2 linked regions of the Ovis aries genome follow. The protein of the gene in region 1 purifies or fractionates together with the protein of each later gene. This does not show direct contact. Links are inferred from orthologs where the notes say so. Each region holds a gene or a part of one and is shown on either strand. Other genes may lie near its edges.

The links.
Region 2: the proteins of DUSP10 (region 1) and MAPK9 purify together in Homo sapiens (affinity purification with mass spectrometry; 3 studies listed by BioGRID and IntAct, with this or other methods). This does not show direct contact. The link is inferred for Ovis aries from reciprocal best matches to the Homo sapiens genes DUSP10 and MAPK9.

Annotation. Positions count from the first base shown.
Region 1 is NC_056065.1:24,475,604-24,479,815, reverse strand, and holds the start of DUSP10 (dual specificity protein phosphatase 10), read left to right. Parts: upstream 1-1,412; 5' UTR 1,413-1,521; intron 1,522-3,703; 5' UTR 3,704-3,746; coding exon 3,747-4,212. UniProt on the Homo sapiens protein: Protein phosphatase involved in the inactivation of MAP kinases. Has a specificity for the MAPK11/MAPK12/MAPK13/MAPK14 subfamily. It preferably dephosphorylates p38.
Region 2 is NC_056058.1:773,957-777,456, forward strand, and holds part of MAPK9 (mitogen-activated protein kinase 9), read left to right. Parts: exon of another isoform or gene 1-1,408; intron 1,409-1,626; coding exon 1,627-1,809; intron 1,810-3,208; coding exon 3,209-3,333; intron 3,334-3,500. UniProt on the Homo sapiens protein: Serine/threonine-protein kinase involved in various processes such as cell proliferation, differentiation, migration, transformation and programmed cell death.

The DNA of each region.
Region 1 (4,212 bases):
TCAGATGGTCACCTCTGACCGCGACCCCTCCGGCGACGAAATACAGGAGAACCTAGAGGGGCGGCGCCGCCTCCAGTTCTCCGTCGGCTCCACTCAAGCTGGTTATTTCTTCTCAGCTCCAGCTCCTTTCCTCCAGCCGCTGCTGTTCCAGAAGCTCCGGGCTGTTGGGTCCTCGGCTCCCAGGGGCCCTACACGGTGGCGGGCAACTGAGGAGGGGCGAGGGGAAGGCGGGCCTCGGGCCGGTAGCGCGCAGCTCTGCGGAGCGCGGCGCGGGGACCTTGCTCGCTGGGTGGAAGAGGGGGCGCTAGCGGGCAGGAGGCCTTGCCCGGGGGCCGGGGCGGGCGCGCGGGCTCTGGGGTGACGCCTGTGCAGCCCCTCGGGGACGCGCCCTCTGTAGCTTCTGACTGGGAACCAGACTGCCGCCTCCGAGCAGCCCTCCGCATCACTGCCTTCGAGCTACGGGTGGAGCCCCGGGAGGCAGGCGAGGGAAGCGGGGGCGTGACTGGGGCGCTGAAGTAGGCGAGCCACAGGGCGCCGCGCCACAGCCGCGCCGGGCAGCAGTAGGGCAGCCGGAGGGGCAGCGACATCTGCGGGCGGGCGGTCGATGCTTTCTGGCGGCGCGGAGCAAGCGGGGCGGCCCCGAGGACTCGGGCCGCGGCGAGGCTGGCGGGCCTCACTGCCGGTGGACGGACGGCAGACTTGCCAGTCCCGCTGGAGCCCAGGCCTCCAGCGCGTGGCCCCGGGCTCAGACTGTAGAAGAAGCGATGTCCCTGGCCGCGCTCTTACATTTATCCCCCTGCTCGGGTAGCTGGGCGACGTCCGTGAATCTTCGGTTTATCAGGTCACCTCGAGGGACTCAGGGAACCCGTTTTTCCAGCTGGGGATAGTGATTATTGTCGTTGCCTCTTGCCTTCAGAAAGTTATTCTGACACGGTTGATCAGCCAGCCAGAGTAAGAAGGGAAAATAAACAGCGTGGTCTGTCCCTTGGTGAGGCGATGTACAGGGATCCCGCCAAGTTCGCAGAGCCAGTTTTAGGCGGAGCGGCAAACACAGCCCATTGACAATTCAGCCCCGGAAAGGGTTAACTGCATCCTGCGGGTTCGGTTTACATGTAAATAGAGAGCAGCTGCTCCGCGCGGGCCCCAGTTGGCCCTTTTAAGTTTTTGATTGGTTGCCAATGACATCACCGTCCGTATTATAACACAGTGGACCCAAAGCGGCGTCGGATAAACCCTCCTTAAAGAGCCATGGCCACGCCCCGGCTCCGCCCCCTCCAGGTGCCCATTGGTCGCGGGCTGCAGCGAAGTAGCGGTCAGGTTTCTCCGGATTCTTATTGGTTCAACACGCCGTCGGTCGGCAGCCGGCCCGCCCCCTCAGAACCTTACATTTACAGTGTAGCAAAAGAGAAAGTAACTATGTTGCTGCTGGAGATCAATGAAGCCTAGTGAATGAGGGCTGAATGTGCGAATCCCTTGCTGAAGCGGAGCGCCAGATGGTGGAGGGTTACACTTATTTATGAAGTAAGTGGAAGTCACCGTGGCTACTCCTGAGAGTCCAGGGGTTTGAGGCGGTGTGAGTGTGAGTGAGTATGTATGTGGTGTGTGTGTGCGCGTGTGTGTTGCGATGTTTACGGAGGAGCCACAGCAGGTGAGGTTAAAGTGTTCCCGCTGTTGGCTCACGCCGCCCTGTGCGTTTACTCTCTCTGCAGTCTACTTGGACTGGGGGCGAAGGAAAAAATGAGGTTTGTTGGGATGCTTTGCGGCAGTTTTAAAGGCCAGGGACTTGTTAGTGCGCTGTGTTGCGAAGGAGGATGTTAAGTGCCCCGAAGTGGGGAAGCAGCATTCTCTGACCACTTAATTTTCTTTCCAGCCGCTAACTAGAGGTGGAAGGGCGACTAGAGAGGGAGGGGGATAGCTCAGTGTTTTTCGGGGAGGTTTCCTACAGGCTGTCTGGATGGTTTCACGGGCAATAGATATGCCCGACCCTCTGCTGCAGGGATGCAGGTCTCTTTATACACTCCGTGCGTGTGTGTATGTGTGTGTGAGAGAGAGCGAGCGTGTGTGCGCGCCGCGCACTCTGTGTGGAGGTGGGGGTCCCAGCTTATGTCTCCGTGAGCACGCTTCTGCGTCCCTCTCAAGGGAAATGGACTGTTGATCCTGGGACGTACCCTACCAGGTAACACAACAGCAAAGACTTTTCACCGCTGGGTCCAGCTGGGAAACAGTTATAGCTTCTGGAATAGTACTCGCTCTTCAAAAAATACTACGCAAGGGAGGAAGGGGCGGGGGAGGGAGGGAAGAAAGGAGAAAGGGAGGGAGAACAGGGGTTGGATTCTTCTTGCCCATCCAAAGGTGGTGAGAGAAAGCTGAGGCCAGCGGGGGGATCTGTGGATGTGATAGGTGCGTGCCCGTGTGTGTGTGTGTGTGTGTGTGTGTGTATTCTGCCTGTGACATTTTGGCTCTGTGTCTGAGAATGGTGACAGTCCTGTGTAGAGGGATGTTGGATGACATTTTTCCAGACATCTCTTAAAGTTGGTTTAGATGAGCTCCTCTTGCATGGCGTTTGGTGTCTCCTCTGTGTGTATGTCTAGCAGGAGAGGAGCCAGCAGGGCCCGGGAGTGGAGTGCCTCTATGCCCATGGGGAGGAAGGAACTGTCCCTTTGCAGGTACCCTCTCATGAGCCAGGACATAGACCCCTGTGGGTGACTCTTTACTTCTCACTGGGAAGTCTTTATGAATCCATCCTCTTGAAGAGGGGGCACGTCTGTGTGAGATCAAAAGATTATGCATAGTGGCTGCCTTCTGCTGAGAGAAGCTCTAGGATGTTCCTGTAGGGAAAGGAGGAGAATGGAGGGTTGAAGTGGTCCTTTCCTTAAAGGCAGGAGTGGAGTGGGTGGTGTGGCAAGGGAGACATCTGAGGGATGGATCTGTCAGGGTCAGGGTTTTCAAACCTGCTTCCCTAGCTTGAGGCTTCATTTTAGGGGACCAGTATGTAATGAAAGAGGAAATGCAGATTACTTTATAAATAAGAGGGCAATAGGAAACAAGGGAGGTTTTAATATGACTTTGTTGTGCTTTTCAAAGGACTTGGGAGAAAGAAAAGTAAGAATAGCTCAAAATTAAAGAGATTCACTTAGAGGGCTACTTTCATTCTGATGTGCAGAAAGTTGACATCTGCCCCTGATGTATATTTAGCTGCTGTATATTCCCATGAGCCTTGCCAGCACTCTTGGTCATTCCTTTGCCTTTGCAGTGGCTGAAGGAATTACATGGAAAGTATGCAAGGGTGGACGTATGGGTCCTTCTCAGATGATTGCAGTATATTTCTGCCCTGGAGATGAGGCCCAGAAGAGATGCCTCTTAAGAACCTTCCCTTCCATCTTGAGCTTTTCTGATCCTTTGTGCTTGTACTTTTTCTAAGGCTGAACTTGGATGTGGGTCCATGAAAGGTTGTTCAACATTTGCATAGACTATATCTAACCTTAGACTCAGCAAGGACAGGGGGTGGGGAGGGGGATGGTCCTCAGGCGTGCATCCTCTTTGAATCCATAGTGGTGAGTGTCAAGCTTTGAGTGACAGGAAACTGGGCACTTAGGACAACTTCACTAAGAGGGATGCAAAGTCCTTTCCTAGGGATTGGATTCGACTGCTTTTTGTGTCACATGACTTTATTCTTTCTTTCCCCCCCTCCCCTTCTTTACAGACTGTCTTGAGTTCTTCTTGAATTGCCAGTTTTCAGCCTCCTCATGCCTCCGTCTCCTTTAGACGACAGGGTAGTGGTGGCACTGTCTAGGCCCGTTCGACCTCAGGATCTCAACCTTTGTTTAGACTCTAGCTACCTTGGCTCTACCGCCCCTGGCAGTACCAGCCACCCTCCTGTCATCGCCACCACCGTTGTGTCCCTAAAGGCTGCGAATCTGACGTATATGCCCTCATCCAGCGGCTCTGCCCGCTCCCTGAATTGTGGGTGCAGCAGTGCCAGCTGCTGCACTGTGGCAACCTACGACAAGGACAATCAGGCCCCAACCCAGGCCATTGCCGCTGGCCCCGCCACCACTGCCATCGGAAGCTCCACCACCTGTCCTGCCAGCCAGATGGTCAACAACAATGAGAATGCAGGCTCTCTAAGTCCATCAGGTGGGGTGGGCAGCCCCGTGGCAGGGACCCCTAAACAGCTAGCCAGCATCAAAATAATCTACCCCAATGACTTGG
Region 2 (3,500 bases), on another chromosome or scaffold:
TTTTCATGAAATGATGGGTGAAAAGAATGGTTAAGAGAGTATGACAGGTCGGGAATTAAAGATAGAAACGACTCTGTATTGCTGCAAACGGGAACAGAAGCTAAGCTACGGAAGTTCACAGGAAAGCGACTGTTCACAGGAAAGTGACTGTTGTTTTAAGATGAGAGGGGAAAAAATTATGTTTGATTGGTGATGGAAAGCTCCAGTGGAGAGCAAAATGGTGGTGGTGTACCAGTAGGAAGAAAGGCATCACAGGGCACAAGAGGGCCTCCTCCTTTGTTCTTTGAAGAACGTATGTTAGTTCCCTAGGTTCTTTCACAGTAATGTCATTTTATTTTTCTAAGACATACCTCAATTAATAACTTTAAGATCCTGTTTGTTTATTTGATTCCTCTGGTTTGTGTTCTCTTATATAATGTTTATGGTTTTAGAATCACTTTCCACATTCATCTTGCCGGTTATCTCAAGCTCCCAGAAAAAGAGACAAAGCTGGCCTTGTCTCCATTTTACAAATAGGAAGATGAGACCCAAGGGAGATTGACTTCCTGACACCCAGTGAGTAACTAATACACAATGGAGTCTGAAACCTAGGTCATGTACTTTGAAAGGAAATAAAACACACTCATTTATATTGCAATGATAGCCAGAGTCAGTACCAAGTAAAACTGAATGACCTCTCGAAGCTGTCGCTGCTCAATGTAAGCCCAGCTACAGTGGGAGATAACATGATGAGGGCTCAGAAAGTCCAGAGCCCCGGCTCCCACCCCCTCTCTCGTGCACCCCATCCTGCCAAGCCTACAAGGTGGTTCCCAGCCGTAAATTGAGCAGTCAGGTAGCTCTCCTTATTTCAGGGAGCTTTATATCTAACATAGCTTTACTACGAGAAGTGGAGGTGTGAAAGTCACTAATAATGAGCATGTGAGCGTGAACGTGAAAGTCACTCAGTCGTGTCCAACTCTTTGCGAACCCATGGACTGTATAGTCCCTGGAATTCTCCAGGCCAGAATACTGGAGTGGGTAGCCTTTCCCTTCTCCAGAGAATCTTCCCAACCCAGGGATTGAACCCAGGTCTCCCGCATTGCAGGCAGATTCTTTACCAGCTGAGCCATACAGGAAGCCCAAGAATACTGAAGTGGGTAGCCTATCCCTTCTCCAGCGGATCATCCTGACCCAGGAATCGAACCAGGGTCTCCTGCACTGCAGGCGGATTCTTTACCAACTGAGCTATCAGGGAAGCCCGTTATTGTGAGAACTGATTTCAATTTGCCTACATAATTATTACCTACTTTCATGTTTAAGCCTTTCAGTCATAGGCATTCTTCAGCTTCAAGATAACTTCATTTTGATCTAGAGTAGGAAGCCATAAAGACTTCATTGTGTTGATTTAATAAACTGTGACCAGAGTTTATATGGTGCAGAGTTTGTTTGTTTGTTTTTTTAAATACTCTTAACTAGGAACCCAAACCTTATTTGAATATTATTTCAGAATGCTTCTGCTGACCCAGGGAGCTGTCCTGATTAATTATTCATTGATAAGTATAATTTAAGTGTCTCTTTGAATGATGCAACTTTATATAATATGAATATAAGGCATTTCAGTTGTATTTTCCTCAAGAAACTCCTTAGATATTGATCAGTGGAATAAAGTTATTGAGCAGCTAGGAACACCATCTGCAGATTTCATGAAGAAACTTCAGCCAACTGTGAGGAATTATGTAGAAAACCGACCAAAGTATCCTGGAATCAAATTTGAAGAACTCTTTCCAGATTGGATATTCCCATCAGAATCTGAACGAGACAAAATTAAAAGTAAGATATCCTTTTTTCTTATACTTGTTTTCATAATCTGGTGAAGCCCTGTTTATGTTTGCATTCTAAACTCTGTGAAAACTGAAAGATGAAATAGTTGAAAACCGTCAAAGTCATTTATAGGCAAGAATGAAGCCATTTCAGAAAGAAAGCCTAAAGACCTAGAAGTTTTGTCCTCAATAAAGGGGACAAAACTGAAGCCTCTGGTCAAAATATTTACATAGTCTGAAAGATTCTTATATTAGTTACAGCAAATGGAATTCAAACTGTTACCAGGTATAAAGAATACTTGAATAAAGATTGTCGCCCATTTGAAGAGTCAGAAATTTTTAAAGGCCTTTTCCCCTGATCCTGTGCCCATCACATTTTAATGTGTTTAAAGGAAAAGAATAGATTTGGTTTTCTCTGCATCAAGACAAACTGTGCCTCATTCAGAAGAGTTCCATCTCTCCTTTGCCTGCACACGTGAACTTTATTTGGTTTTGGTATTCATTTGGCTGTCCTGGGTCTTTGCTGTGGCGTGTGGGGTCTTGGGTTGCGCGTGCAAGCTCTCAAGTGGAGCATGTGAGGTCTAGTTCCCTGACCAGGGGTTGAACGTGGCCCCCTGCACCAGAAGTGCAGTGTCTCAGCAACTAGAGCACCAGGGAGGTCCCACCTGTGAATTTTAGTTGCTAAAACCTAGGTGAGCCTTGTATTTAACCAAGTTATTGAATTTGTTGAGTTTTTTCCTAGCTACTAATCTCTAGATTTTTTTTTAAGTGTACATTGTATACAGGTAGGCAAAGCAGAGGGCTTCCCTGGTGCAAGATACCTGGGCTCGATCACTGGATTAGAAAGATCATCTGGAGAAGGGAATGGCTACCCACTCCAGTGTTCTTGCCTGAAAATCCCAAGGACAGAGGAGCCTGGTGGGCTAGGGTCCATGGGGTTGCAAAGAGTCGAACACGACTGGGAGACTACGCACAGCACAGGCGAAGCAGAGATATCTGTGAGCTGCTGTATACGATGCGCATATGAAGTTGTTGTGTGGCTTAGTCTGCTCGGTTTCACTTTGATGTGGCATCAAGAGAAAAGGCCTGCCCGTGCTTCATGCCTGCACTCTCGGCAGTGCCACCCTCGGCTTAGCTCCAGTACCCTCCCTGTCCATGGCTTGTCAGCCTTCTGCCCTGTCCTTCTCCCCTCCCAGACTCAGGGCAAAAGCACCTTGGAAAGCCTGGTTTCTAGGAAATGGCTGCTTGATTTACTCTTAAAGAAAGAGACTAATAATCCTGAATTTATCACCAGTTTCTCAGAGTTAGTATATCTTTGTTCTGTCTGAGCTGTCACAGTTAGTTCTTTATTGTGTAATTCTCAGGATAAAATTGTTACTTTATTAATCTAATATTTGTTTTTACCCTAGCAAGTCAAGCCAGAGACTTATTATCAAAAATGTTAGTGATAGATCCCGACAAGCGAATCTCTGTAGATGAAGCTTTGCGTCACCCTTATATCACTGTCTGGTATGACCCTGCTGAAGCAGAAGCGGTAAGCATCTATTTTGAAAAGACTTGTGTGTAAAGGCAGGGCATACATTTCCCTGGATCTTCTGTCAGTCTGAAATGGCTACACAGAGATTTAAGGTTAAAAGTACTCCTGATTACTTTGAGGCCATATGCTGCTGCTAAGTCGCTTCAGTCGTGTCCGATTCTGTG